Diceros bicornis minor: one gene and its partners. The protein of the gene in region 1 interacts with the protein of each later gene in a pairwise test. Links are inferred from orthologs where the notes say so. Each region holds a gene or a part of one and is shown in the gene's direction. Other genes may lie near its edges.

Evidence for each region.
Region 2: the proteins of EMILIN1 (region 1) and ZC2HC1C interact in binary tests that used the Homo sapiens proteins (3 or more experiments, as listed by UniProt). The two-hybrid records come from large-scale screens. The link is inferred for Diceros bicornis minor from reciprocal best matches to the Homo sapiens genes EMILIN1 and ZC2HC1C.
Region 3: the proteins of EMILIN1 (region 1) and protein BEX3 interact in binary tests that used the Homo sapiens proteins (3 or more experiments, as listed by UniProt). The two-hybrid records come from large-scale screens. The link is inferred for Diceros bicornis minor from reciprocal best matches to the Homo sapiens genes EMILIN1 and BEX3.
Region 4: the proteins of EMILIN1 (region 1) and IFT20 interact in binary tests that used the Homo sapiens proteins (3 or more experiments, as listed by UniProt). The two-hybrid records come from large-scale screens. The link is inferred for Diceros bicornis minor from reciprocal best matches to the Homo sapiens genes EMILIN1 and IFT20.

Annotation. Positions count from the first base shown.
Region 1 is NC_080751.1:55,737,976-55,745,551, reverse strand, and holds the start of EMILIN1 (EMILIN-1), read left to right. Parts: upstream 1-4,226; 5' UTR 4,227-4,691; coding exon 4,692-4,861; intron 4,862-5,820; coding exon 5,821-5,946; intron 5,947-6,413; coding exon 6,414-6,634; intron 6,635-7,576. UniProt on the Homo sapiens protein: Involved in elastic and collagen fibers formation. It is required for EFEMP2 deposition into the extracellular matrix, and collagen network assembly and cross-linking via protein-lysine 6-oxidase/LOX activity.
Region 2 is NC_080763.1:23,022,785-23,030,724, forward strand, and holds the start of ZC2HC1C (zinc finger C2HC domain-containing protein 1C), read left to right. Parts: upstream 1-4,593; 5' UTR 4,594-4,682; exon of another isoform or gene 4,683-4,851; intron 4,852-5,086; exon of another isoform or gene 5,087-5,533; 5' UTR 5,534-5,552; coding exon 5,553-6,881; intron 6,882-7,940. Other genes in the region: ACYP1 (acylphosphatase-1), read right to left, coding at 1-2, 4,154-4,319.
Region 3 is NC_080781.1:96,216,814-96,223,332, forward strand, and holds protein BEX3, read left to right. Parts: upstream 1-4,632; 5' UTR 4,633-4,728; intron 4,729-5,102; 5' UTR 5,103-5,114; coding exon 5,115-5,423; 3' UTR 5,424-5,672; downstream 5,673-6,519. UniProt on the Homo sapiens protein: May be a signaling adapter molecule involved in NGFR/p75NTR-mediated apoptosis induced by NGF. Plays a role in zinc-triggered neuronal death.
Region 4 is NC_080757.1:19,127,394-19,135,861, forward strand, and holds the start of IFT20 (intraflagellar transport protein 20 homolog), read left to right. Parts: upstream 1-5,121; 5' UTR 5,122-5,183; intron 5,184-5,225; exon of another isoform or gene 5,226-5,348; intron 5,349-8,468. Other genes in the region: TNFAIP1 (BTB/POZ domain-containing adapter for CUL3-mediated RhoA degradation protein 2), read right to left, coding at 11-63, 140-229, 649-818, 1,440-1,644. UniProt on the Homo sapiens protein: Part of intraflagellar transport (IFT) particles involved in ciliary process assembly. May play a role in the trafficking of ciliary membrane proteins from the Golgi complex to the cilium.

The DNA of each region.
Region 1 (7,576 bases):
ATCTGCTGTTGAAACAGAACTACACCTCTAATACTAGACCCTGGAAAGTAGATTTCTAGGCTGCAAATGACATGAGGGAAGGCCTTGGAAGTGCTTCAGATTTCCTAGGTTGTCCCGAAACCAACTGACCCAGGTATGAAGTACCCTAGACTGTTATAGCTGAAGGGGGCCTTCAAGATCATTTTATAAAGAAAGAAACTGAGGCCCAGCAGTAATTGATTTGACCAACGTTCTACAACTGGTTAGAGACAGTGTCACTTTGTCCTCTTTCCTCTGTTCCGTACTCCCCAACAGACTGTGGACTCAACAGGTTGTCCTAAGGTCAGGGACAAGAGGAACAGGGTTTGTTTTGGAACCATCCTGAAACGTCCTTCACCTCCCAGAACTTCCTGTGCCTAGGTCCCAGAACTTCCTGTGCCTAGGTCAGCGAGTCTTTATCAGCCTTGAATGGGTCATTTGGCCTAGTGCCTGGAGGAACTGAGATTAAAAATGGTCTCCAGGACTAAACTAGACTCAGTTAAGAATTAACAAAGCTTGAACAAAGCTTGGGTGGAGAAGTATGTGGGAAGTGAGACAGGCAAGCCTCATCCTGGGGGGAATTGGGGGAGAGAGAGGATGAGGGGGGGACAGGGACACGTGACACGTGTGGAGCCTAATCTCTGTGATTAGTGTGACATTGTCAAGGAGAAGACATGAGGTCAGGATTAGGTTCAGGAGTGAAAAAGCAACCTGACCTGGGAAAAGGGGACTGGGCCCTGAGTCCAAGGAGGTTGGTTCCTAAAGTACTGTCCCTGTGGGAGGGGTTGGAAGGAAAAGGAAAATGTGTGCATTTGAGCAGGAGTGGACTTTTGCTCAAGAGTCGCTGCAAGCTTGAATTACCATCTGGGTTTGCATGACTGAAGGCCCAATTCATATAATTTCCCTTTTCTTCCTACCAATATTCCATCCTCTGACAGAGGGCGTTAGACATAAAATGTGCCTTACTGCTGGTGCCCCCGGGCACCTGAGCTCATTGCTCAGTCGGTGATGGTTGAGTGAATGAGTTAGTTGCCTAGTACAGCCAAGATTTCCCACTGGCACTAGACCCTTGGAAATCCCCTGTTTTGGAGAGGCTATAAAATAGATCTTGTACTAGTGCTCCAGGGACTTAGCCTTTTTGGGTCTCAGGAATTCTCTTGCCAATTGCTTTGGAAATTTGTGGCTACCTGCCAATACCACCACTGCATTCTCTCTAAGCCTAGTCTCCATTGCAGCCTGCTTGCCCAGCACCTCAGGCTTCCCCAGTGAACCCAGATCTCATTTGAAATCTCACAAATATTCATGTCAGCCTCTAGGTCTTGGCTCCTAATTACAGGACTAAATGAAATGCAGCCTACTCCAATTGTATTTCAAAGCCAACATTTTTGACTTGACACACTTAAAATACAACAGATTTTTAAACCTAAGAGGGCAGGCGAAGGAATGGGTAACAACTAGGCAGTAACAAAATGGCTGGGATGACTTTTCAGGTTGCCGGAGGCCCCCTAAAGGGAAAGAAGAGGGGAAAGAGCAGAGAAAGAAAACCCACAGCAGCAGCCAGGGCAACCTGGAGAGGAAGTGGCTTCCTGCCAGGGCCAGAGCCTAGAACTGATGTGGAGACCAGGGACAACGCTGCAACCTTCTACTGACAGCTCCTTTGAAATTAGGATCTCCTAGGACCATATCCTTCAAGTCTCCCTGTGTGCTGATCCCCACACCTTTAAGGGGCAGCCACAAATTTCCATTTCTGTTGGTTCCAGCATCCTGTCTTTTCACCAACGTTTCTCCCCACCATCAGGATCACATTCTGGGCCATAGGACCTCAGAGGAGTCACATTGAAGATTTGGTCGCGTCCATTCTCAGCTTCCAATTACTGTCCTGCAAATGGTTCCCAGAATCAAGATCCACATTCCTACCATCTCTTGGACATTTATTTCCATTGAGATGTGTTACTGTCATCTTAAACTCAGTATGTCCAAACTAAGGTCATCGTTCTTTCCTCCAAACCTGCTCCTCTTCTTGACTTATCCTTCCTGGCTCAAACCCTGGAATCTTCTCTGGTGTCTCCCTTCATCTGCTCCCTCTACTCAGGAAATCACCAAGCAGTCACAGCCTTCTCTTCCAAGTCTGCATCACTTTGCAATGTAGAATTTGGAAGGGACCTTAGACACCAGGCAGACAACAGACTCCCAGTGGAGTCATGGGATTTGCTCAGAGTGATAACACTACTGAGAGGAGGAGCTGGAACCAGCTCCATTGTGCCCTGACCCCCTGCCCATTGCTGTTGCTGACAATGTCTTCTTTCTGCATGTGATTGACCCCCTACCCAAACACTCGTAATCGAAGCTCTTAACCAGTTATCTGAGACTCCTTAATTTTTCCACAATTGACTTCTCTGACTTTCTGTCCTTCTTCTTCCTGATGCAAATAAGAGCTAACATTTATTGAGTGTTTACCATGTGCCAGGCACTATTTTAAATGCTTTACATGTATTAACTTAATCCCCACTAACCTAGGAAGGAGGGTACTATTATTATTCCCATGTCACAGATGAGGAAACTGAGGCAGGCCACCTTCCCCAACCTGAAATCTCTCCCTGCCCCTTGTCTCTGTTCTTCACTCTTTTCCCCCCAACACTGTTCAGATTCTCTCTCTTCCAGCAGCTCTTCTCTGACTCCCCTCAGCAGCCAGCTGTCTCTCCCCTCCTCTTACCCAGAACATGCCGCATCCATTTGTCTGTCCCTCTTGGCACTCTGTCTCGGAACTTGTATCCCATCCCCAGCAGCCCCAGCTGCTCCTCACTAAGTCTTATATATGCTTTGCTACCTGGGCGCCTGCACAGTGCCCTGCACGCAGCAGTCTCGCGTCCTTTCTTTTTTTTTTTTTTCGTGAGGGAGATCAGCCTTGAGCTGATCCGTGCTAATCCTCCTCCTTTTGCTGAGGAAGACCGGCTCTGAGCTAACATCTATTGCCAGTCCTCCGCCTTTTTTTCTTCCCCAAAGCCCCAGTAGATAGTTGTATGTCATAGTTGCACATCTTTCTAGTTGCTATTTGTGGGACGCGGCCTCAGCATGGCTGGAGAAGCGGTGCATCTGTGTGTGCCCAGATCCGAACCCGGGCTGCCAGTAGCGGAGCGCGCGCACTTAACCGCTAAGCCACCGGGCCTGCCCCTTTCGCCTCCTTTCTGTCTAGTACTTCCGCTTCGCTCTCCCGAGTGTCCCCACACACAGGGAGACCTAGTCCAGAAGACAGTGCTGAGGGCCAGGTGATGAAGGGGGCCCAGCTGACGGATTCAGACATCTCCAGTCAGGCCGATGGCTGAATGTGACTGAGTTCCTTGCCTGCTACGGAGGCTATCAGACTTGCCTGCAGGCTAGGGAGTGACTTCCTTTGGCCCTGTATAGATGGGGCCCAGTTTACCTTCCTCCCTCCCCTCCCCCACTGATGGCTTGACCTACACCAAGGCAAGCCTGGGACCCATATTTATTTGGCCTTTTAAGAGACTCTCTTCTTGCCCATGTCATCTCCATGCTTGACAGAAAACTGCTCTCCCATTTCCAGATTCCTTTCTTCCTCTTCTGGCTTCTCTGAATTTCCTGCCTGCCTCAGTGGAGTCCTTTTCCTTCTCCTCCCTGGCCCAGTAGCCCTCTCTCCTCTTCTTCTTTCTGCCAAGTCATTGATCTAGGTATTTAGATTCTAATCTCAGCCCTGTTCTTGACTTGCTGTGTTACTTTGGACAAGTTACTTTCCCACTCTGGGCCTCAATTTTCACATCTATAAAAGGAGGTGGCTGGACTAGATGGTGAGTGATGTCCCGCTGAGCCTACAAGCTCCTTCTCCCTTTTATAGTCCTCCCCTCCTCTCCCCTCTAGGCTCCTCTCTCAGGTCTTCTCTCCCAGGGGAGGCCTGCCGTAGCCCCAGGAGAGCTGTGGCTCCAGCTCCTGTTCCCTGTCTAAGTGACCAGCCCTGGGCCTTTCCCCCAGTGCTGGCCCCGGCTCCACTCCATGTGGCCCGTCTGAGAGGCTGGCCCCAAGCCCGGCGGCAACTCCACATTTCTCTGTTTTTCCTTTTTTTTTCTCTCTTTCCCGGAGTTAACAAGAAGCAGATGTGGCGCACGATGGTTGGAGAGATGGGGGGAGGAAGGGGGAGGCTGGACCGCCAGCCAGACAGGGGGGAAGGGAGAGGAGTGAGCAAGAGAGGGAGGCGAGAGGCCAGGGCCCGCCCCACAGCCACTCTTGTGCCTCTCAACAGCCACAGGGGCAAAGCCCTGTCACCCCCAGGATCTGATCATTGGGGAAAACAGATAGGGAGAACAGAGGAGGGCCAGCTGGGCAAAGGGGCGGAGGCCCAGGAAGCAGCATCTGAGAGGGGCAGGGACCAGGCACAGGAGGCCGGGGGCACAGAGAACAAACTCCCCTCAGAAGTGGAGAAGAGGAGAGCGGAAGGAACCGAGGGAGGGACAGACGGGAGTGTGAGGAGGAAAGAGGAGGGGGAGAGGGGTCAGGCCAGGCGGCCAAGGAGGAGGCGTGTGGCTGGGGGCTGCCGGCAGGAAGCTGGGGACAGGACCCGACCGGCGCTGTCCCTTGGAGCAGCGGCATCCCCCGCACCAGGCAGAGACGCCAGTGGTCAGGCTGGGATGTGCCTCTGAGGGCCACCGCGGAGCGCCCCCACCATGGCCCCCAGCACTTTCTGGATCTGCTACCTCTGCTGCCTGCTGACCACAGCCGTGGGGGCAGCTAGCTACCCTCCTCGTGGTTACAGCCTCTACACGGGGAGCGGCGGGGCCCTCAGCCCTGGAGGACCCCAGCCCCAGAGTGCTCCCCGGCCTGCCAGCCGCCACAGGTAAGAATCTGGGTCCCAGAGGTGGGTGGGAGGGTGAGTCAGAAGGTGGGTATCCGGCCCCTGCCTTGGCTACCCTCTCCAGGGCTGTCTCCCCTAATACAGGGAAGAAGGGGAGAGGAAGCCCACCCATCAGGTGGCTCCTCACACGGCCACCTTCCTGCAGGGCGTTTCCAGGGCCCCCTGAATAGATAGGTCCCTCTGTCTAACCTCAGGGTGATCAGCTCCCATGTCCTCCCTGTGGGACCTGCAGTTAGGTGCCTGGGAAGACTATCCTGAGAGGCGTGGGCCAGGCCTTCCTGCCAGCTGCCAGCTGCGTACCAGCCTGGGATCCTTGGGCAGACCTTTTATCCCTTTCTAGGGCTTCCTCAGCCCCATCCAGTAATCCATGATTCTGACACCACTCTTGCCCTGCTCCTTTCGGCTCACCAGCTGGACCCAGATCAGAGGCCCGCTTGAATGGGGCCAAGAGTGTAGAACTGCAAGCCCTAAGGGTGGCAGGACTCATCAATGGCTTATTCTCCATTTAACCCTGAGCTGGATCCCTGCCTGCCCCATCCTCTCCCCTGAGGGGTGGGTGGAAGCCAGCATCCAGGGTATCACCTGAGGGACCCAGCTAGCCAGCTCACACAGGCCACACCAAAGTGTGGATTGAGACAGAAAGGGACGTGGATGAATGTGTGAATTCAGAGGCTCCCAGGACCCCCCCCAGCCATGAGGATCAACTTCTTGTAGTTGTGGTTTTCCATTCTGCGCCTCCTCTCCCCATCTTGAAAAGTCTTTATCGACTGCTGCCTCACAGGAAGGCGTGGGGGGAGCTGCCACTGCCAGAGCCCTGGCTCCCACTGGTCCCCGGGGGCCCTTCATCTTTTGACTGTCCCTCAGCTCCTCTGGTAGCCCCTGGGCCCTCCTCTGGGGCGTGTGTCTCTGGCCCTTGGGCCCAGGTGGGGTTGTGCCTGCAGGAACTGGTGTGCCTACGTGGTGACCCGGACAGTGAGCTGTGTCCTTGAGGATGGAGTGGAGACCTTCATCAAGCCTGACTACCAGCCGTGTGGCTGGGGCCAGCCCCAGTGTGCCCGCACCATCATGTGAGCCTCTGTGCTGGGGGATGAGTGGGTATTTGGTGGGGGTTGGGCTAGGGCAGAAGGCAGCCAGCCAACTCAGGGAATTCCTACAAAGCAGGGAGCAGGGGGCAGGACCAGGGGCTTCAGTCAGAGCCATTTTGAGGACACGCTGAGGCAACAGTTTGGCTGGTGGGATACTCAGGGCACACCTTTACCTAGGCCACCCTGCCAGCCCCCAAATGCCTTCTCTGGGCTGGGTCATGCTCAAGGAGGGGAGTTCAAGGTTCCAACACAGGACAAGGGGAGGAAGAACAGGGATTTGGCCCTTGGCCAACAAGCTGACAGCTGTCAACTGAGCAAGGCCACATGCTGGACAGTAAGGGGGACTCAGCCTGAGAGACAGGCTTTGCCCACCAGCAGCTGCCCATCTCTGAGGACAGGGGCCAGTACGTACAGGGAGGAGTAAAGAGGCCTCCCTCTGCCTCTCCCAGGTACCGCAGCTTCCTCCGTCCTCGCTACCGCGTGGCCTACAAGACAGTGACAGACATGGAGTGGAGATGCTGTCAGGGGTACAGGGGTGATGACTGTGCTGAGGGTCCTGCCCCAGCTCTGGGTCCTGCACCTACCACACCACGCCCCCAGCCCCGGCCCGCCCGCCCCAACCTCTCTGGCTCCAGTGCGGGCAGCCACCTGAGTGGACTAGGCGGGGAAGGTGAGTATGGGAGCTGCTGGGGAGAGAAGTGGGAGACTGTGATGGGCGAGAAATGTGGGGCCAGGCTGCCGAGGGAAAACCCCCAAGCTCCCAGTCAGAAGAAAGGGACAGAAGGGAGTTAATGGGATCCCTGAGATCCCCTGTCCTCACGCAGAGAGATTGAAACCGAGAGAAAAAAGGCAGAGGAGAATGTGCTCACACACGCCCACATGTGGCCAAGATACTTCCTAGTTGGGAACAGCTGCGGGAGGAAGGGGGAATTCCTTGTAGAAGCATGGTCCAAGGGGATAGACAATTGAGACTACAAGTCCTAGCATGCACTGCAACCAACTACAGGTCCCAGGCCCCTCGGTGGCCTCTGGAGACTGCAGGTCCCAGAATGCAGCCGTCCCTGTTGCCTTCCCGGGCCTGCTGGGCACTGCGGTGTGCTGTGTTTGCCTGCCAGGGAGATAGCCATACTGTCATTATGGAAACAGGAACTTCTGGCTGACTCGCCCACCATCCAGCTAGCACCCCTGCAGGCTTGTTGCAGAACCTCGTTTGTCCCTGTGGTGGTGTGGAGAAGTGCCACCCAGGAATAGCCACTGTTGGGGAGTCCACACTTCCTCCCTCACATTCCCATTTCACTCTCCCCCAGGGAGTGACATAGTGTTATCCCCATTTCACAGATGAGGAAACAGTTTCCATAAAGTTAAGAGGCAGCTCTGAACAGTGGAAGGACTTGGGCTTGGTGGTCAGATGGATGACCTGGGGTTGAAACTTGGCTCTGCCGCTTATTAAACTTGTAATCCATGGCCCACTTACCTAATCTCTCTGCTCCTCTATTTCCCAGTCTACAAAAAAGGAAGAGCTAATGGTCTCTGCCCACTGGAGTTGTTGTAAGGGGGAAAGAGCCACAGTACAAATTTGGCCTAGAGGCATTCAGTGAATGGAGTTTCCTTC
Region 2 (7,940 bases), on another chromosome or scaffold:
ACCTGTCAGAGACCAGGAAAGCAGAAAAGTAAAGGACTCATCATCCTATTCCACGCCCCTAATCCTGAGACAGAAACGGCCACCCTCTCCCCTTCTCCATCCTTAACACCTGCGACCTCTTCCTGACCTTAAGGTGCCCCGACTTCAGAGTACGTAAGCGGATACGTGCAAGCGCGGTGTGTGAACAGAGGGCACCCGGGCAAAGGAACTTCGGTCGCAACTGCCCACCGAGGCCTCTTTTGGGGCAATTACCTGCTTATCCAGTGACCTCCCTACACCCATCTCCGATTCTGCTCCCTCTCCATCCCTACCTCTTCCCAGGGACCTGGCTTCGCTGCGGCAGCCAGAATCCCCTTCTACTAACATTTTAGGACTAACCGAATGATAAGTGCGCCCCGTAGCCACGTCCCAGGATCACCCTCGTCGTTCTCCTCCCAGGCGGCCGAGACTACATCAGCGACCACCACGCGAACGGCCCCCTCAGCCGCGTAACCGTCGCGCCCGGAAGCTTAGAGTGCAGCTCCTCTTTCGCTGTCTCTCATGCCCATCACCTCCGCCGACCAATCACAGACGGAGCACTCCGGCGCAGAGCCCGCCCAGAGGGTGGGGTTTCGGGACGCGGTTGTCACGAGCGTGAGCGAGCCTCGGGCTGGGGATCTGTCCAGGGTCTCGGATCAGAAATAGAGTACCTGGCTGATGTTATTTCTTTCTCTAAAATTCATTTGCCCGGGTTCAGATCCCAGGCGCAGACCAATGCACCGCTTGTCAGGCCATGCTGTGGCGGCGTCCCACATAAAGTGGAGGAAGATGGGCACAGATGTTAGCCAGGGCCAGACTTCCTCAGCAAAAAGAGGAGGATTGGCATGGATGTTAGCTCAGGGCTGATCTTCCTCAAGAAAAAAAAACCTATTGAGTGTCTATTATGTATGGGACACCCATAGGATGTACAAAGATGAAAGATATATAACCTTTGTCCTCAAAGAGTTTTTCATTTAGTGTAAGGGACAAATATGCACGCAAATAATGACAAAACAATGCACAATACGCTAATTCAATGCCATGAACACCCATTGAGAGCTGATCATGAGCCAGCCCCGTGCTATAACAAGAACAGAAAATATTACGGGAGCACAAAAGAGCAAAGAGATTCACTCTGGGAAGATTGGAAAAGCTTCTTGGAGGAAACAGCATATTATCCAAGGTTACCCAACCATGACGGGTAAGTGACGGAGCTGGGATTTGGTTCCAAGCAGTCTGAATACAGAGCCCACTCCCATAAAGGCTATGTTCTACCACCTCCTAGTACGTGGAGCTTGGCCTGAGGTAGTGCCACTGAGGTAACAAACTGCAAATAGTCAGGTATGGCTAGACCAGGGGTTCTCAACCCTGGCTGCACATTAGGACCTTGGGGGAAGCTTTTAAAAATACTGATACCCAGGTCTCACCCCTAGAAATTGCTTTCCAGATAGTCCTAAAGCACAGCCAGGGTGGAGAGCAACTGGACTAGACTCTGGGGAGGCAGGGCTGGAAAGGTAGGCTGGAACTAATCTGGCAGGTTGAAATACCACGTTAAATTACGTGTTTCAGCTTTATGCTATAGGTACGACAGGTTTGGAAGTATTTAGGATAATTATTCTGGCAGCAGCATGAAGGATGAGCTCAGGGAGCAGATGTTGAAGGCAAGAATAGCAGTTAGGATTGTGATGCCATCCAATGAGAAGAGAGGAAAAACTCACCTACGGTAGAAGAAATGTAAAGGAAGGGTCATATATGAGAGACACTGCAAAGTAAATCCATCAGAGCCTGCTGACCGATTAGAGGGAAGGAGTGACAAAGAGGTACTCGGAGATGACTGATGCTTTCAGCGTGAGAAGGAACACTGGAGAAGAAGTGGATTGGGGGACTGGAGAGATGATCATGAGTTTGTTTTCTGTCACGCTGAGTTTGAGGTTCCTGAGGAACATTCATGTGGAGGTGCTAAATGAGCAGCTGGAAATTTGAGTCTGTAACTAAGTAGAGAGAGCTAAGCTGGATATCACTTATACACAGGTGAGACTTGAAATTTCAGCATTTGCTTGAATCACCAAGAAAGAGAATGTCTGAAACTGCATGTATATGAGAAATAAGAGGGCTTTGGAGAACACCTAAATTTGGGGGGCAGGTGAGGAAAAGACATAAATGCCAGAGACCTGGAAGAAGATGGAGCAAGGACATGTAGGAAGAAACCAAGGAAGCACAGGAGAGTGGGGCCGGCCCTGTGGTGTAATGGTTAAGTTCTCGAGCTCTGCTTCAGTGGCCTGGGGTTCGCAGGCCTGGATCCCAGCAGTGGACTTATGCACTGCTTATCAAGCCATGCTGTGGCAGGCATCACATATAAAGTAGAGGAAGATGGGCACGGAAGTTAGCCCAGGGCCAATCTTCCTCAGAAAAAAGAGGAGGATTGGCAACAGATGTTAGCTCAGGGCTAATCTTCTTCACCAAAAAAAAAAAAGAAAAGAAAAAAAGGCACAGGAGAAAGTGAGAAGAGAGTTCCAAAGGAGTGAAAAATCAATAATGTCAAATAAGTAGCCTGAAGAAATAGCAGCTTTTGTCTTTGGTCATTGGAAGGTCATTGGTAGCCTTGCAGTTAAATACAGTGGAAAGAGTGGAAACCAGACCACAATGGACTGGATAATGAGCAGGAGATGAGGAAGTGGGGGCAGCAAATGTAAAGTTTTCTATTAAGAAGTCTTGTGGCGAAGAGGAGAAATAAATGGGACCCTACCATGAGAGGTGGCAGGTCAAGAAAAATGAGGTTTGTTTTGCAGAGGAAAGTTAAGCATATTTTAAAACAAAGAGAAGGAATATGTGGATAGACACAACTTGAAGCTAATAAGATGGAGGGGTAAAGTGATGGAGTCAATTCATGGAGGGTAATGAAACGGACTAATTCAAGAGAACTCATGGAAAGAGAAATACTCTTCTTCCTCAGAGACAAGAGGGAAGGAAGTCAAGATGGAGGGAGGCACTCTGGCAAATTCTGCCAGACTGGAGGGGAGCTGTGGGAGCTGATGACAAGCAGGCCCCATGCTGAGATAACTAGGACTTTGAGAAGAGTGGGAAACGTCTGGGACTGCATATATAGAGAAGGCAGTAGAGAGTCAACTAGGAAAGAAAACAAAGAATATAAGGACTGCCCTGGAGGGCCCCACCAAGGAATTTCTTTGTAACATCTAAAAGATGTAATATGACAAGTTAAAGTATTAACACTGACTACTGCTGTCTATATTATTTTCCATGTGCATGAATCTTTTGAGTAGTTATGATATTGGCTCAACACAAGGTTAACATAAGGGAAGCCATACTGTAGAAAAGAAACCCTATTGTAACTTTGAATGATCTCTGATTAATTAGCCCAGACATGCTCTGTGGATTTTATGGCCACTCCCAGTTGCTGTAAGTTGATAACTTTGTTCTCTTGAGTTCCTTAGGAATGTGATGACCCCCCAACAGAGAGTCTATGCTGATAGCCATCATCAATAACAACTGAAAGATCTGGTGTGGCGACTCCCAGTCTGTAACACCAGAAGGTCAACATTCCTAAACCCCTCCCCTATAACCCACTGGCCTATGTAACTGCTTTAAGATTTTGTGCCCCTTAAGATGGTTCTTTTGGACATGAGTCAGCAATCTTCCCTTTTGCTAGCAAGCTGTAATAAAAAGTCCTTTTTCTCCTTGCTTCTTGACTATTGGCATGCCTCACAGCCAGCAGATGAACCCCCTTTTTAGGTGGTAACAGTTACAGGAAAAAAGTAAGCTGCCTGTTCTAAATAGCTTACACAAAGGAACTGAAGCATGAAGACAAATAAACTCTTTTCTGATGTTAACAATTTATACAGTATCATTTAGTGTTGAAACTAGGTTATACTGATTATTTTCAATCTGGTAGTTAACTTTATTATCATTTCATTTGGCTGAGTCATTCTTGGGCCCTAAGAAAAGACGGCCAGAGTTACCACGTGAGAATCAAACATCATATCAAAATAATTAGACTGGCTACAAAAACTACCCCGGACAGATACTGCATAGCAAAACCTAGGCGAGTTAATAAAATTTGACTGCAAGGTCCAAATTATCGGCGAGGAAAAGCACGGAGAGAGATACATAGCCATACCTGGGGCCCGGACAGAGCAGCGGAGCATGCTAAGAAAGGCTATCAGCAGGCCCACTCCCGCTAAGTGGGCGGACATCGGAATCCTGCCGCGGAATGACTGGCGGGCACAGCTAGGGGCTCGGGCGTTTGCCAGGGAGGGGCGCGCCCCAGGGTCTGGGAGCACCATTCACAGAAAAATACAAGTTCTTTCATGGAGCCCCAGAAAAGCTTCTCCCGCCCCCTCCCCCATTCCCAAGGGCAGGGCGATGGAGCTCCAGAGTTGGCAGGACACCCAGTCAAGTGATACTCAGGCTGACCGCACCCCCCACCCGCCCCGCCGCGTGCGGACTGCGCCTGCGCGCGCTGCCCCGGGCGGGCGGTGCTCGCTGCCAGAGGCGGGGTTGGGCGCGCACACGCTCCAGTCTCCAGGCAACGGGAATAACAGAGGCCAGCTGAGAGCGCCTGCGCGGCCGGCGGTTGGTGGGTGTCCGGTCGGGAAAACTAGGTTCTGGAGTTTTCCCTGAGCAGGGACGGTCCCCGAGAGCCTCAGGTACGCGCAAGGGCGCGGAGACGTGAGGTCAGCACCTCGCCCTCCCAAGAGCCAGAGGTCAGAAGAGCGCTTTGTCCCCAAAGCGGGCTCCCCAGTGGGGGCGCCCCAGCTGACCCTCCAGGACAGAACGTGACTTCCGCATTCCGAATCTAAAACCTGCAGCGGCCAGGTCAGGTGGTCCCCGCCTTTCAGGTTACAGACCTCTCGCTGTCTGCGCCGCGGGGGCTCCTTGGGTGAGGATTTGTCAGCCAGGCACCTGCTGCACCAGGCCCTGAGCGCCCTCTGTGCTCTTTGGAGTCAAGCACGGTTTCAGCGGGAGGGAAGCCTTGAGAGCTCTTTGTTGCCAGTCATTTACCTCCGGGCTGCAGTTTTCTCACCTATACAAGGATTGGGCTGGACTCGCAGTTCTAAATTCCAGTCATGTACTCTAACTGAGCGAACCCCTCAGTTTACGGGTGAAAAAACTGGAACCAGCAAGGGAAGTTGCTTGTCCTTTGTCACCGGCCAAAAGCCTGACTTTCAATCCAATAGCTCTTTCCACCTACTACGGAGTATGATGTGTCCGGCAGGAGCATCACTGTGTATGGCAGGGGCTAGTACTGCTATAAAGGAAAGCTAGGCAGCAGGAACACCTGTATCATATTCGTTTTTCTATCCTCAGGACCTAATAAGCACTCACAGGACATAATCTCTTGCCAAATGCTTATTGAACGAAAGCTCTGGCAGACCCAGCACCACTGTCCCTAAAAAGTCTAAGGGGAAATGTGGGTAGGACAAGTGTAGAAACAGTTTACTTTAGTAGCTGGGGTGAATCTCAAACTCCTCATATATCTGGTTTCAATTTCTTCTAGGCTTCAGTCCAGGCCCTGAATGGCTGGTCTCCAGTTGGTGCCACCTCTGCCTGTGGGCGTTATGCTCCCATATAATAAAATAGAAGCTCCAGGGCTGCACTCAGCCAAGCAAGACCCCTGTGAAAAAGGTGACTCTTGCCAGCGGTCCTCGATGGGGCACCTGAGGAACAATTTCCAGCAGAAGCTTTTGAGCAACAAAGAGCTGACAGTGGATAATCTCTATACTCACCCCAAATGGAACACCTGCACAGAAGCCCAGAGCCACACCTATCCCCACTGTGCTGGAATCAGCCAGCAAGATTCAGGAAGCAATACCCAGGGCCAAACAAAGTGTTTGTTTTACTCATCAAGCCATCAGTCCCGGTATCCCAAAGCAAATAACCAGGACTTCATCCCCTTTACAAAGAAGCGAGTTGGGGTAGACCGGGCATACCCACTGAAGCCCGTGTTCCATCGGAAGTCTCGTAGTACAGGTGAGGCTGGCACTGATGGGGACCAGAATGTCTCTCCACGACCCCCTGAGCCAAGAGAGTTTTCATACAGCAGCTTTGATTCAAGAAACTGGGTGAACGCATCTGTGGCTGGCACTGTTGCTGCCATGCAGGGGGAGAGGGCCATGGCAAACCTCAACAGGACTTTGTGGCTGCAGATCCAAAGACTAGAGGCTGCAGGAGAGAGCTTAGAGGAGGAAATCCGAAGAAAAGAGACCCTCCTGAGGCAAAAGCTGAAGAAGACAGAGGAGGAACTCAGAAGGATTCAAAAGGAAAAGGAACAGACAGAGGAAAATGAAAAAGGAGAGCTACAGAGAAAGACACTCCCCAGGAGAAGAGTCAAAGGTAATAGCAACACCACATACAAACCTCTCTTCTCCCCAGAATTCGGGTCTGAGGGGGTCTTCAGTAGAGACAGGGGAGAGGATGAAACTTGGGTATGGTCTCAAGAAAATTCTAGTCCATTCCAGTTCTCTGATTATGGACTACAGAAGCTCAAAAGAGAAAGACTGGGGGCAAGCAATAACAAAATCCGAGACCGAGTCTCAGGGCCATTGAAGGCGAAGTTTTCTCAGCCTTCAGAAGTGCCAGGCAGTGCTTTGCAGGGATCCACCAGCAATTCTAGCTTGCCCGGGGCACCAGACTCCTCAGGTCCCAGCTGTCCCACTGAAGAGCCAGAACTCGGCGAGTGCAGCCACTGTGGACGCAAGTTTCTCTTGGTCAGGCTGGAGAGACACTCCAATGTTTGCCGCAGGATGCAGAGTTCCAAGAGGAAAGTGTTTGACTCATCCAGGGCCCGGGCTAAGGGCACAGAACTAGAGCAGTACTTGAACTGGAAGGGACCAGCCTCAGTCAAGGTAACAAGGGCTTCATGGATTTGACTTTGAGTGTAAGGGCCTGTTATATCCTCATCAGTTTTCTTTAGTAGAATTTCATGTGTCAAATAGGGAGAAAGTGAGAATTAACAATTATTGAGTACTACTGTGTGCCGGTCACTGTGATGGGAGTTTTTCATATGGTCCTCACCACAACCCTGTGAGGATTTCATTATCTCTTATCAATTCAAAAATTAAGTCTCAGAGGGCCCAGCCTGGTGGCACAAGCGGTTAAGTGTGCGTGCTCTGCTGCGGTGGCCTGGGGTTCGCCGGTTCGGATCCCGGGCGTGCACCAACACACCGCTTGGCAAGCCATGCCATAGCGGTGTCCCATATAAAGTGGAGGAAGATGGGCATGGATGTTAGCCCAGGGCCAGCCTTCCTCAGCAAAAAAGAGGAGGATTGGCAGATGTTAGCACAGTGCTGATCTCCTCACAAAAAAAAAAAAAAAAATTAAGTCTCAGAGAGGTTAAGTTGGTTGAGATCACAAACAGCTTTAAATGACAGAGTCGGCATATAAATCTGGGTCAGAATGACTCCAAAATCTAGACTTAAAAAATATATGTCCTTTTGATTATAAAAGTAATAAACACTACTGTAAAAAATTCAAAAGACAGGAAAATTATAAAGAAAACAACTATGCAGCATTTTACCACCCTGAGAGAATTCCTTGCTCTAGGATCTGTTACCACTCCTATAACCATATCTATTTTTTCAGGATTAGCTCAATTTTGATATATCTTCTTAGTAAATACATGAAACACAACTAAGTTTGGAATTCTTTATCTCCCCATTTAGAGTGTAAACACCTTAAAGGTAAAGGAATTTATTTTCAGTGATGGTTCAAAACATTCCTAGCTACAGAAAAACTAGGTTGTATAAAGTAAGGACTTCAAGACACTTACATGATAAGTTTAGGGGAACTTCACAGGCACATTTGGACAGTCAGATCTGGAGAAGATTGTCTCGGAAATAAGTCCATGACCCTGTCAAGGTTATGCCGCTTGGTTTGTAAAATGAGTGTTTCTCAAAGTGTGGCAT
Region 3 (6,519 bases), on another chromosome or scaffold:
GGATACTAACCTGGTATCTCCGCAGTTTGACTGAGAGATAACTAGTTGAAGTAAAATCACAAAACAGTTTTATTTTTCCAATAGCTGCCTCAATAGTGCTCTTTCTATCATCTCCCCTACTTTCTACTGGGTAATTTGCTTCTTTAACTACATTTCAGCCATTTCCTCAACTTTTCAGTCACTTTTCTTATTAAAAGAGTCTCAGTTGGACTGATAAGATTTAGTTCTATGTATTTTAAAATGCCAATCTCACTTTTGTTTCAGAGCCTACCTCATCCCTCTGGGAGATCTATCTCTATCTCTCTATATCTATAGATAGATAAATATCTACATATCTATATCTATAGATATATAGATACATATCTCTCTATATATATATATCTATATCTATGTCTATACATAGATAGATAGATGGAGAGACTGATTGATTATGAGGTCTTGGCTCACACAATTATGAAGGCTGGAAAGTCCCATGGTGTGCTGTCTGCAAACTGGAGAGCCAGGAAAGCCAGTAGTGTAGTTCGAAGGCCTTAAAGCTAGAGAGTTGATGTGTAGATGCCAGTCTGAATTAGAAGTCCTGAGGACCAGGAACACAAAGGGCAAGAGAAGATCAATGTCCCAGCTCAAGAAGTCAGGCAGAGAGCAAATTCAATCTTTCTCTATCTTTCTGCTCTATTCAGGCCCTCAATGGGTTGGATGATGCCCACCCACACTGGACAGGGCCATCTACTTTACTCAGTTCACCAATTCAAATACCAAACTCTTCCAGAAACACTCTCACAGACACACCCAGAAATAATGTTTATCCAGATATCTGGGCATCCCATGGTCTAGTCGACACATAAAATTAACCATCATACTCTCCTTCCCTGGGTTTACTCAGATGATTTGAGAGTTTGGAGGAAGGGGATAAAAAGCCAACTATTTACCTCACTACCTAGAGTAAGATTGCTATCCTCATGTGATTAATCATCACTGAGGCTCAAGTTTGATGTCTGTAGAACCTGCTGCTAAGGACTCATACTCAAGCAGTTCCCTTAGGTTTTGGTGGCAACTTGGAAGATTGAGCCATATCTTGCATGTGACTCCTAGCTGAGACCGTCACTTGGCATTCCTATGATTCATAGGTCTCTTTACCCTATGTTGTCACAGCTTCTGGTAAGCTTGTATCTCAATAATTCCCCTCTCCCTAGCTCCAGTTCCAGAGCCTGTAGGCATGGTAGGATTTATTTTTCAGCCTCTCCAGAATTGGGTACTTTTGTAGGGTGTCAATCCTAGCCCTTTCTCCACCGGGCCACATCACCACATCATTTCTCCAAAATGTTCTTTCCAGGTTCCTATAGCATCTAGGTAGCTCAGAATCTTAGAGGTAAAGCAGATATTCAGGAGAGGAATGAGAAGTGAACCTTAACATCTTGTAGATATCCCTAAACTTTATGTACAATTCTTTTTGGATCCCACTCCCTTGGCTTTGGGGAAGGGAACCAATCAAGCGCCGCCATCTACCATAATTGCAGGATATAAGGAGAGGTGATAGGTTCTTTTCACAAACACTGCATTTCCCCAAATGTGAACCCAGTCTCCTCCTTCCCAGTACTATGCTACCCTTCTATTATTTCAGGGTAAGAGCCATCAAACCAGTTCACACTCTCTTTGTCCTTTGGGGCACATGAGTCCCAAACTAAGACTCTTGTGTCCTAACTCAGCCTTGGAAAATTTTTAAATTTTGTTCTCAACAGGTTGTTATCTATCTCCAACTCCTCAGAAAACTCCAAGGACAAGAAAAGATCTCAATCAACACCTCACAACATTTTACAAAGACAACATTATTTCCAGGCCAATTTTTACCTATCTTTAAAACATCATTTCATTACAACCAACCTCCTATATAGCATAACATCAGCTCTGGAAAAATATACAAATGTATGTTTCCATCCAAGAAAATTTGGTGGTTTCAAACAAAAGACTTATCCAAGATGGGTCAAAAAGACAACAGCAAAGCGTTTAGCCACTGAGAGAAATAAACATTGACTTACTAAACTTCATATTCAATGGTTATGTCACAGTGGTTTCTCTACTTTCAGAGGATTCTTTCTAGGTAATTCCTAATTTTCATAAAAGCTTTTCTGTATTGCTCTAAATACAGTCCCCTGAATGAAAAGCAACCAGTGAGCCTCAGTAACAGATGCATTCAGTCAACAAATATGAACTAATCACCTACTTTGCACAAGGAACTCTATAAATCACCAGGTATACAAGGTGGAACAAAGCAGATGTGTGCTGGGCCCTCATGGATTTTAAAAACAAGTGGATCTAGCTAAGGAAAGAATTCTGCCCTGCCTACTCTTCAAATCTTGTTAGAAACCATCTATAATAGTAAAAAAATAACAAGTCAACTTTTATTGAAGATTTATTAGGCTCTGTGGTAAGTAATTGATATGCGTGATTTATTTCTTCTAAGAATCCCTGTTTCACAGAGGAATCACAAAGACATTGATAAGTAATTGACCCAAAGTCATACATCAAGTAAGTAGCAGAGACAAGATTTAAACCCAGACACATCTGATGCCACAGCTCATGCTTCTAATCAGCATCTTTTCAGCCAATATCATTAATAGAGCTATCTGTATGAAGAATTGTTAACTGTGAGACAGAACCCAGGAATCACTAATATTCCTTTCAAAGACAATTATTGGGTGTGATTTTGTAATTTGAGCCTTTGGAGCTACATATTAATATATCTATATATCTCTGAAAGCATATATATATATATATATATAATTTTATATAAAACCTCAAACTATATATGCACTAGGCATATACTCTTCCTTTATTCGATGTCCCAGCTAGTTTGGCAGGGCAGGAGATTACATAGGAATTTGGAGCCAAAACTAGAGGCAGTAAGCATTTGTCTGGCCTGTCTTGCCTCAGTGCATATAACTCTTTTGGTTCCTTTATCACAATCAAAACCTACTAAAAATTGTTTTTATAACAACGCCACTTTCCTAAAGACATCTCTATTTTCTAGCTGTGATAATTTTTTTTTAGTTATTTCAAGTTGGAGAAATGAACATTTACACTCAAGATAAGTTTCAGTTTCAAGTTTAGTTGCTTCACACACCCCCTGCTTATTTCTAATATTTTTTTGAAACATTCACATTAAAAGGCAGATAGCTTTGGAACTAACTTCTGCATATTATATACTTAACTTCTGAGACCATTCTAAGGTGATATTTGTTGGGGTGCTTTGGAAGGTTTGGAAAGGAAAGCAGGGAATAAAAAGGCTCTTTTTCTTCAAAGACTGTGGTATCAAAAACATTACACAAATTTACATAAAATGGCCAAGATCTGACAACTGAACTTCTTCCTGAAGATTTACTGTACAGATCGTGTTGAAAACACCAACTGTGTTCAGGAAGATGCCTTCCTTTTTTGAAAATAAAATTTTGAAACAAGCTAGTATGTTTCAAAAGTGATGCTGATGTGTGAAGCCCAGAGAAAATATTTTCTGTGTGGTACAGGTGAACATAATCAAACAATAAAGCTTTTGTATTCAGCATGATGAAGCATTTCTTTCAAAAATGAAATCTCATGATTTTTAATTTTTTGAGGCATGCTGATTTCTTAAAAAGTGAAATAAAGAAAAATTACTAGGAAGGCTATCTACAGCCCACTTTATCTCCTTGCCTCACTTCTGACAAGTCCCCTGCTCCCTCCCCACCCAGCTCTCATTCTAAATTTCCTAGAAGTGTATGAATTCAGGGGATATGGTGGGCAACGCTGGCTATGCAAGTGCAGGGCGTGTGTGTGTGGTGGAGCATGTGGACAGCGAGGAGAGGAGAGAAAGCAGAAAAGGCCAAAACCAAGGCTTGGGGCGGGAGTGAGAGGGGTGGAGGGTGTTGCAGACCCTCCCAGGTAACCAGAGAAGTGCAAACTCCAACCGCAGGGAGGTGATGCCACTTGCGGGCCTTCAGATTGGAGAGGACCGAGATGAGTGACAGGCTGGTGCGCGCTGGGGCCCCCGCGCACTAACAGGCAGAGAGGGTTGTCTGTGCGTGTGCGTGTGCGCGTGCAGGAGGCGGGGGGCGTTCCTGCTGCACTGGCCGCTGGAGTTGGGGGCGAGCTCGGCCGTGACGCGGGTCCCTCACGTGACCGGGAGCTGCAGAGCGACGCAGCCTTCGGTGCAGTCGTCACTCCCGTCTGGGTACCAGCTCCCCGCTGCCCTGCGCACGGCGGGCTGGCATCGGGCCCGGGGAAAGCGGAGCAGGTAAGGGCCCCGGGGCCGCGCGCCGAGGCCCGGGCGGCAGCGGACTGCCTACCCCGGAGACCGGCGCGGGGAATCAGCGCAGCGGGTCCCGGCCAGCTTTCTCCACATCCCGGCGTTCTTGGGAACATAAATAGTCCCCCTGGGGTGGGGGGGTGCAGGAGCGGCAGGGATCCAGGGAGGGCAGTAGAGCAACTAAGAGCAATGGGAAATCACCCCCGAGTTCCTGCAGGAAAATGGTGAACCCTGAGGCAGGCGGGGCGAGGGGCGGCAGACGCGGGGCGGAGGCGGCCGGGGGGCCCGGCGCTGGGAAGGGGCCGGGCAGCGGCGGGTCGGCGCCGAGCGCTTGGCAACAGTCCCCGCTCTCTCCACCTCGGCCCTCTGCAGGTGTAAGTGTCAAGTGTCGAGGCAGCGCACTTGGAGCGAGAATCAGGAGGAGGAGGCGACAGCAAGGATAGGCCCAGGTCGGTGCGGGGGACAGGTGCAGGGCCCAGTCTGAGACCGCTTCCCAACTTCCCCATCCCCCGTCCCCTGTCCTCCATTTTGGTCTTTGCTGAGCTCTGGGAAAGAATCCTGGAAAAGGAAAAATGGTGGGCTTTGGGGGAGGGAGGGAAAAGGAGAGAGCCGGAGGGTGGGGCTGGAATTGGAGGCCCCCTAGAGGGCGCACGAAGCTCCAAAGGTGGGGGAAAAATGAAATTTAACAAAAACCTTTGATATCAAGGCTCTGAATCCTGCTGGTCGTTGCACCAAGTATTCAGTCTCTCTCCTTGCCTTTGTCTTACTTGTGTTCAAAGAAAAACCAGAAAAAAAAAATCTCATTATGGCAAATATCCACCAGGAAAACGAAGAAATGGAGCAGCCCATGCAGAATGGAGAGGAAGACCGCCCTCTGGGAGGGGGCGAAGGTCACCAGCCAGCAGGAAATAATAGAAGGGGACAGGCTCGCCGACTTGCCCCTAATCTCCGATGGGCCATACCCAATAGGCAGGTCAATGATGGGATGGGTGGAGATGGAGATGATATGGAAATGTTCATGGAGGAGATGAGAGAAATCAGGAGAAAACTTAGGGAGCTGCAGTTGAGGAATTGTCTGCGTATCCTCATGGGGGAGCTCTCTAATCACCATGACCATCATGATGAATTTTGCCTTATGCCTTGACTCCTGCCATTTTCCATGAGATTAATACTGTGATTCCCACTGTTGTTTTCTTTTTCCTTGCATTTTCCTGTTATGCCTTTACTGATCCGTTTGCTGTGAACCTTATGTGATTTCCATGTGTCAGATGGGTTCTGTGTTACTAGTTTCTAATTGGAGATTGCCTTGGCACCCAGTCTAAGTTTCTGTCTACAGTCAAGTTTCACCCATTTGCATGGAAAAATGTAAAGTTAATAAAGCAATTAAAAAGCAGTCTATACATTTATTATTGTCTCATTTATATTTATATATACATATATATGTATTATGTGAACCCACCAAAAATCTGAAATCAAATATCCCAAGGTGTTAATTGGGGTACATTACTCTGGTTGGATAACATGGGACTTTTTTTCCTTTTATTATCTGGAGTTTTAGAAACAATGAAAACAATTTTTCAGTGAGTCTGTGAACATAGTACACGTACATAATAATTACTGATTCAACAAACTTAAAGAAGAGTGAACTTTAAGTATCTTTCAGTCTTAACTGGAAAAATAAACCCTCCCTTTATTACAGATACATTTCTTTAAAGAGTCAGTCTTAGCTCCTGTGAAATGGGGGATAATGCTTGCCTTATAGAGCTGCTGAGTAGAACAGATGAGGTGTGGGACTGTGTTGAGCTGTCTCCTATGCAACTCCTCAGTATTTAACAGGACGGTGGCCTCCATCAGGTACTGGGGAGGGACTAAAGGGAGTTTTCACCAATGCTCACAAGTCCAGAGGGCAAAAATAGCTAGGTTCCACCTTGTCATTCCTTTGATACTTGCAATACTCCTGCCTCCCTGATTACCTGATTACTGCCATGTCAGTTGGGCATACTTTCCCTTCTGCTAGGTCCTGTTCCTGTTCTATCGAGGGTGTGCTGGAGTCTTCAAGGTAATAAAAGTCCGCTGATTTCTCTGGAGTCCCTGGTGAGCTAAAGCCCCTGTTTGACCTCCATAGAAGTGTGAAGAATGCCTTTATCCCCACTTTAGAGTTATATTTATCCAAGTGAGTACCATTCCCATGGGTCTTGGTCTTAACTGGTTCCTAACAAAATAGACCTTTTTGGTTTTAT
Region 4 (8,468 bases), on another chromosome or scaffold:
CCCACCCTACCTGGTGTAGGAATACTTGTTGTTGCTTCTATTGTACAGCAGCTTCACCACGGGCTGTGAGGGAGGAGAGCGTGAGGGCCAGGCCAGGGTCAGAACATCCCCTGCCCAGAGCCCTCAGAGGCCCCAGTACCTTGGTGGAGGATTCGATGAGCCTCTCCTCCTCCTTCAGGGATGTGATGACGGGGATGTTGCACACAGGCTGGTAGGAGTCCTTCTTGTCCTGGGTGACACACACAGCCGAGAATCTTTTTGAGATCTTCTGCTTGCCAGGCTTAGCCAGGCTTTCCCCAGGAGCCGTCTGAGCCCCTCTATCACGGCCACCCCCTGCTGGCTGAGGAGGCATCAGACAGAGATCGGGAGGCCCCTGGCAATAGAAACTGCCAGCTGGCAAGCAGACCCCCATTCCCAGAAAACCTAAGATCCAGATATCTAGGCATATAAACTAGAAGCAGGGCCTAGTCAGACTGCCTGAGTTCATCACCTTACAAACTGACTGGCTGCCAGCTCACCTGGTCTGGGCACCACCTGGTGTATCTAACTAGGTTTGGACTCATCAACCACAGCTGCCACACAGCCTTCCAGGAACTGGATCTTTGTCTCTCTTAACCTCATCAACCTGCCCCAACTCTGCCTCCGTACCTGCAGGGCAGTTTGGCACATGTTCACCAGCCCCTGAATGAGGTAATATTTTGCTTCAGCCATCAATTCCTTGATTTCTTGCCGGTTTTGAGGGAGGATGATGGTGTCATCTCGGAGGTAATTCAAAATGGTGCCAAAGTGCTTTCCACATCGGTCTATGAGGATCCAGCCTAGGGATTCAGACAGGCCCCAGAGGGTTACTGTTTGCCTCCAGGTACCTCAGAAGCAAGCAAAGGCCACCTGACGAGCCTGGTGGCAGGTGGCAAGGAGCACATGAGCACAGAGCCCATGGCACAGGGTAACAGAAATGGGAACAGAACCTCTAGCTCCTAGGTCCATGGCTGCTCTTCACTCCTCCTCCCTGAAACCAAGAACTGGCACATGCCTTGGAAGACAATGGGCCCTCCAGGCTCTGTGGAGGCCCACAGGGATCTAAGCTCAGGAGTGCTCAGGCCCACCTCACAGCAACACAGAACCCATCACGCCCTGCTTGCCTTCTGCCCACTGCCCAGTTGCTACAGGGATGGTTCTTACGAGAATCTAGTCCTATGTGAATATAAAACAAGTATGGATCTTCTCTGGAAAATGCATAAACACACAACATTCTATGTACAATTTCAAAGAATTCCGAAGCTCTACTAAGCACTCCAGGTGAAGGAGTCGTATACCAGGTGAACTGGAAAAATGAATCTAGATTCTAGAACTGTCGGCATTAAGCCCTGCCCTGAAGTCACTTCCTCAGGAACTCCTCCCTCCCTCCCCACCCCACTCATTAAGCCCCAATGCCTCACCTTCTTTGTCAGTCAGCACCTCCATGCGCCCGCTGAACATGGCCTTGAGCATGGTGTCGTGCCGGGTGAGCGCCCGCACGGTGGTGTAGTACAGGGAACCGCCCACATTGAGCTGGACGTATTTGTTGCCCAGGCCTCCTCCCTTGAAGCCGCTTAGCTTGGGCTTGGCCCCTGAGGCTGGGCATAGACAGGTATCCCCTGACATCTCCCGCTGCAGGTAGATCACCACACGGCAGGAGGTCGGCTTGGAAGGCTCCACCGTGGTGGAAGGGTCACAAGTGAGTGGCCAGTGGGGGCCAGAGCCTCATGCTCTCAGTGCTATGAGCAGGAGATGGGAGAGAAGACAGAAGTCAGGAGAGGAGAGCCCTCAGTCAGGAGGGGACAGGAGGAGAAACACTGACTATCCAGTCATTCTCTCCTTAATAAGCCCTAGATTCCCTGGCAGAGGCTAAGGCCCTAGGCCTTAAGAAAGACATTCCTGGGGCTGGCCCCGTGGCTTGGCGGTTAAGTGCGCGCGCTCCGCTCCTGGCGGCCCAGGTTTGGATCCTGGGCGCGCACAGACGCACTGCTTCTCCGGCCATGCTGAGGCCGTGTCCCACATACAGCAACTAGAAGGATGTGCAACTATGACATACAACTGTCTACTGGGGCTTTGGGGGAAAAAAAAAGGAGGAGGATTGGCAACAGATGTTAGCTCAGAGCTGGTCTTCCTCAGCAAAAAGAGGAGGATTGGCACGGATGTTAGCTCAGGGCTGATCTTCCTCACAAAAAAAAAAAAGAAAGAAAGAAAGAAAGACACTCCTGCTGTTATTTATGGAACCAGGAATCAGGTTTGGGAGCACAGTCTCACAGAGCCGGGAACTGGTCACCTCACCAGCCTCCCTGAGACCCAGCTCAGCTCTGGACGGCAAGGAGGACAAGCAAACCCTTGGAGCTGGTCAGAGATGGCTTGAGGAACAGACTGGGCAGAACAGAAGTCCCCACCCTGGGGATCCACCAGTCAGATTCCAGTTATTTTCTTCTCAAGGTTCCCAGGATCCAAGACTTCCAGCCAAACATACTGGGAATCCAGCCAGCCTGGGAGTTTCCCAGGAGCCCGAGTGACAGGATGCGCTTCCTTTCTAAAGATTCCAGGCTCAGGAGCAGCCTGCACCAGTTCTTACTTGGAGCACCACCCGGAGTCTGGCTTCAGGAAGGCAAGTAAAAGCAGCTTCAGGAGAGCATGGAAGGAGCCAGGTTGGAGGGAGTCGGCCAGTGTTCCTGGCAGGGGCTACTCTGGCTCCAGCCGGGGTTTCCTGACCTTCCTCTTTCTTGGCATCAGCCCTGTCCTAAGTTCCTGAAATTGTCACCATTTTCCAGGACAGAGCAACTACAGGATGGCTATTTTTGCTTCTTTTTCCTGAGAGGCGGCCCAGCCCTATCTCTTCCTCTCTTCCCTCCCAACAAGAATGGGGAGAAAGGGCTAGAAAAAAACAGATGATAAATCTAAAAACAGTTAAGTGATCTGGAAAGTGAAACACTGATAGGAGTTCAGAGGAGGGAGGGCAAGGAAAGCAGAGGAGAGCAAAGCCAGGTCACCCCTCATGATTTAGATGCTATATGTTTTGGTTTTCTAAAGAATCACTGAAATTCAGTCACTGAAAAAAAAATAATAGCAAACATTCTTCGCATGTTTACTATGTTCCAGGCACTATTCTAGGCATTTAATATATATTAGCTCATTTAATTCATTCAGCAATAAAACAATATTGAGTGCCTACTATGTTAAGCAGTAGCAATAGACAGATGAAAAGATACCGTCTTCGCCTTCAAGGAGTTCAAAGAAGCATCATAATGTAAACAAGAATAAAAATACTAAGAGTTAGCATTGATTGTGCCACTGCTCCATGCAAGGCACTGGGGATACAGAAAAGAACAAACAAGTTATGGCCTCATGGAGCTTACATTCTAGTGGGAGGATACAGACAACAAGAAAATGAATAAATAAGCAGGCAATTCCAGAAGGTGAGGAATGTAATAAAGATAATAAAACAGAGATAAGAGAGTGACTGGTGAGAAGCACTAATTCAGACAGGGGGTCAGGGAAAGCCTCTTTAGGAAGCTGACATTCCAGCTGAGGTCTGAAAGAGCATTCCAGATAGATGGAAGAGTAAGGGCAAAGTTCCTCAGTTAGACACAAGGTTTAGCAACAGAAACAAGGCCAAGATGGCTGGTGCATAGAAAGAAGGGGGATGTTGGCTTGATTTCAAGTCAAGGAAGGCAGGGGCCAGATCATATTAGAGAGTGGATTTTATACTAATTGCAATGGGAATCGATTGGAGGGTTTTAAGCAGGGGAGTGATATGACCTGAGTTATTTACATTTTGAAAAAAATCACTCTGGCTGCTGCGTAGAGAATGAATTGTAAGGGTGCAAGAGAGCAAGTGGGCTTGTCCAGGAGACTCTCATTTGCCTTCAAGACGGAGTATGGATGAGCTGAGCCCTCACCAGCAGACTGCCCAATCAGTAAGTAATGGTGAGTGGTATGAGATCACCTTACCTTCCTCCGCCCACCCCAAGGGAATAAATCCATTCTTCAACAGGTTTTAGCAAGTTACCTACGTATTCTGTGTCTAGCCCCAATTTCCCCAGGATCAAAGAAAGTACACATACATATTCTACCAAAGCAAAGGAGCTCAAAGGCTAGGCGGTTGCCAACGGAGGTAGACAAATCCAGAGCTAATCTATTCCTTTCTTACAAAGCAATTGCTTTGAGCCCATGGATGACGTCAGCTCAGATTCCGCCCAGGCCAATGGGCTCCAGGAATCCTGTGGCAGGTGACGCCCCAGAAAGTAATTCCAGTGAGAATGAAGTTTCCATTGATAGCCTCAGCGCTCTTCCTTCCGGACTTTGTGTGTGGATATTTGGGGATGCCAGGGGCTAGGGGCGTATCCGCGTCTCACTCAGCGAAGCTAAAGGGAACCCAAGCAGAATAAAGGGCAGACAACCACAGCTGTGGAAGAAGGTGGGGTCCTAAAGAAAGAAGGACCCAGAAATCCGTCACACACGGAGGATGGCGGAGGCGGGGGAGTGGGGCCGATCTGGTCTAGAGAGGGCGGATCTAGCAGAAATGCTAGGTGTAAATTTTCGGCTTCATCCCAAGGGTCTGGGGAGATTTAGCGAGACCCAACCCACGGGAAATTTGCCCAGTGTCGAGTCTTCCCCAGCCCGTACCCCACCTCACTACCGAGAAACCGGGATCGGTTCTGACACCCACTCCCAGGGGAGGATTTGAGCTCTCCATCTCCCCTACGCCGTCCCACGCCTTTTCCCCAGCACCGGGTGGGGGTCTCTTTGCTCCAGTCCGCGGCCAGTCCATCCCTTCCCCTAGGGCATCGGCAGACCCGACTCTCACCGTCCCCGGGGGTGCCTCTCCTCTCAGCTGGATTGCAAGCCGACACCGTGCCGCCCCCAGACTGTGGCCGCCTGCCCGCCAGCAATCCCAGCGTGTGAGCTCACATCCTCCGCCCGCGAACTCCACCCCGAGCCGCTGCCCAGCCCCGCCGATCTGGGAGCATGGCACGCTGAGGCCGGGGATGCCTAACACCCAATCAGGGAGGAGGGAGGAGCCCCTGAGAGTATTCCGCTGAGAGCGCACAGCTACTTCCGGCGGCCTTTCCGGCGCAAAGGCCTCTGGATCTTGTAGGCAGCCGTCCTTCCTCTTAGACCTCCGTTTTCCCGCAGGCTCTGCGGGTTGGGCTGCGGTAAGTGCTTCCGGTGTTAGGTAGTGACGTCATGGGTAAACAGGTCCTGTAGCCGTGGCAGCGGCTGAGGCGGGCGGGTAAGGTACCGGCTGCCGCTGACCGGAGAGAGAAGCTGCCCGCCGACGTCAGCCTGGGGCGCGGCGCGCCGCGGTACCCGGTGGGCAGGTAGGCCGTGACTCCGGGTCCGGGGACGCGGGCGGACCCGGGGCGAGGTGAACCTGACGGGCCCGCGCCCTGAGGAAAGGCAGTCCCAGGCCGAAGGAAACGTGGGAATTCCGCTCGCTCTCTGGGAGCGGTTTCTCGCCTAGCTTGGGCCTGGAGCTTGACGCGTTGAGGCTCGGAACGATCTTATGAGGACACTGCGGCCCAGATAAGTTCAAGGAGTTTACGTAGTAAAGCCGGTTCCATCACCCAGGCTTTCCTAACTTTCCCCTAGTGCCCTCTCCCCACACCGCATGGATGGAGCAGGCTCGTATGGCCTAGCGTGGATCGGGGAGAGCCCGGGGGCGGAGAGGGCGACACCGCCCTCGTCTTCGGGGAGCCCAGTCCTGCCTTGTGCCCAGTGTTCCTCAGATGCTCAGACACGCGCGTGTGGTGGGAGTTGGGAGTGAATCCGATAGTCGGCTGCGAGCCCTCTCCCTGCGCTCCTTCTCCGGTCTTACCCATCTCATTCAACTCTCCTCTCCAGCCGTACAGTTGGCTCAAGCCAGATGCGTGGGAATCTTGCCTGACTCTCCTTTACTCATCTCCAAACCGCTACGTTCAATCAATCCTTTACTAAGTCCTATCAACTCGACTTACAAAACATCTCACCTCAGAACACTTTTCTTCAGCTCCAATCTTTGGTTACTGTAATGGGCTCCTTTGTTTTCACAGTCAGCCATTCCACAAACATTTACTGAGTGCCACATCTAGCAGGCACCATGCTAGATGCCAGGGTTACAGTGATGAGGAAGGTAGGTGTAGCCCTACCTTGTTCCCTCCAATCCATTCTCCATTCTGGGTCAGAGTGAGCTCTCTAAAAGGCAGATCTTGTTATAAGATCTGTTGAGAATCCACTGGCTGCCCATTACCCTTATGAGAAAGTCCAAGCTCATTACTGCAGCTTTCAGAGCCTTCCGTGATCCAGCTATAGCCTCCCCATCTAGCCTCATCCTATTCCACACTCCCCTTTGCTCACTGGGTTTCAGTCACACTAGCCTTTCAGTTCGTGGAATGCATTAAATTTCTTATAGCTTCAGGATCTTCACACTTGCTTTTCCTTCTGCCAGGAATGCCTCCTCCCCCCTTCCGTTGACAAACTTTTGGCCATCCTTTAGGTCTCAGCTGAAGTGTCACTTTTTCAGAAGGGTTTTGTTGACACCCCCCCCATATGAATTCTGTCCTCATGCTACAGCTTCACATAGTGTTACCCCCCAAGTGGAGGTCTTCTGCTCGCCGCAAGACATGCCAATAGTCAAGAGGCAAGGAGGTAGGAGAGAAAGGACTATTTATTACAGCTTGCTAGCAAGGGGAAGATGGCTGACTAATGCCCAAAAGAACCATCTTCAGGGGGCACAAAATCTTACAGCAGTTATATAGGCCCGTGGGGTATAGGGGAGGGGGTTAGGAATGTCGACCTTCTGGTGTTACAGACTGGGAGTCGCCACACCAGATCTTTCAGTTTCATTGATGATGGCTCTCAGCATAGACTCTCTGTTTGGGCGTCATCACATTCCTAAGGAACTCAAAAGCACAAAGTTATCCTCTTATTGCAGCGGGGAGGTACATACACAAGCAGGGGTTGTAAAATCTACAGAGCCGTTAGATCTCCTGGAGGGTGCATATCCAGCTGGGTTAGTTAGTCAGAGGTCATTCAAAGTTACAGTAGGGTTTCTTTTCTACAGTATGGCTTCCCTTATGTCAACCTTGTGTTGAGCTGGTATCAAAAGCACCATGTGCTTTTCCTCATACTATTATCACAGTTTGTGATTATTTGTTTGCTGTCTGTCCAGAAGTCAGGAACTAAAGCAATAAGGCATTTTCTTCACTACTCTTATCACCAGAGCAGGGACTCGGTAGATATTTCTGAATAAATGCATACTCGCAGGGGAGCGAGTGGAAGTTGAAGGTTAATTGAAGCTTTCTAGAGCAGCAGGTCTGATTAATCACCTGGTAGGTGTTAAATGCTTAGATTATATGTGTAAATATAACAGATCAAGCAGGAAGACAGATCTTTTTAAAAAGCCTGATTATAAGAAAGCTCTGGATGATTAAAATGTTTCAAAAGGAAGATGCTAGCCTGCTTACTTCAGTGGATTCCAGTGAGGCCAAAGGCCCTGGGCCACAGTCATGCACAGACAGCCTATAGACATGCATTAGTTGGCCCACACAGTGTTGGATGTGTTTTTTTCCTTCCTTTAAAAATCAGATTTCATATATCAATCTGGATTTCTGATCCTCTTGAAAATCAGTTCTGGCAACAGTGGGACTTAATTCTTTTTTAACCATTGGTCCTATGGTACACCTGCTCTGGGCAGTCACTTCCAGAATCACCCCTATCAGAACTGAACTCTTCTAAGGAAGCTGGAAGGGAAACAGGTGAGGCTGGGAGAGGTGGGAGAAAGGGAAGGGCTAGCTCAAGGCCAGGTGGTGGGAGCCTTTGGAATTTTTTTTTTTTTTTAAGCCAGAATGAGGGTGAGTTGTCAGTGTTTCCTTCCCAGAGTTGAGGCATCCTTTGGAGCAGGAATGCAAGGTGGCCTGGGAAGGGAGAGGATATCTCTGCTGGTTCTCCTGCCTACAGAAGAAGCCCCTAAACTCCTTAGCTTGGCACACAGGGTCTTTCTGCTCTGGCCCCAACCAACCTTTCCAGCTCCATCCTTTGTCCTGTCGTCTTCTAGGCAGGATAGGCCCTTTCAGTGACTTCAGGCTCTTGTTCATGCTGTTTTCTCGGCTTGGAATGCCTTTCTCGGGCCTCCTTGCTTGATATGTTCTTGCTGATACTTCATTCTTTTTTGTTTTCTGCTAGAAAGAGACTGACCCAACTCTGGGTCCCAGTTCAGGCACGTGTACAGTGTCCTGTCGCATACATTTTGGTAATACTGTTACTCCTGGCTTATTTTTTTAACTTTAATTTTTAATTCACTGAGATTTTCCCTTTTACTTGCTTTTTGTGTTGTTCCAGTATTGTATTTGAAAAGCTTTTTCATGTCCTTTTGGGTACATAACTGAGGATAAATAAATATGCTTATGGCTCACAACTTAGTTCATATGTCACTGCCTCATCCCAAGTTAACTGCTCTGTTC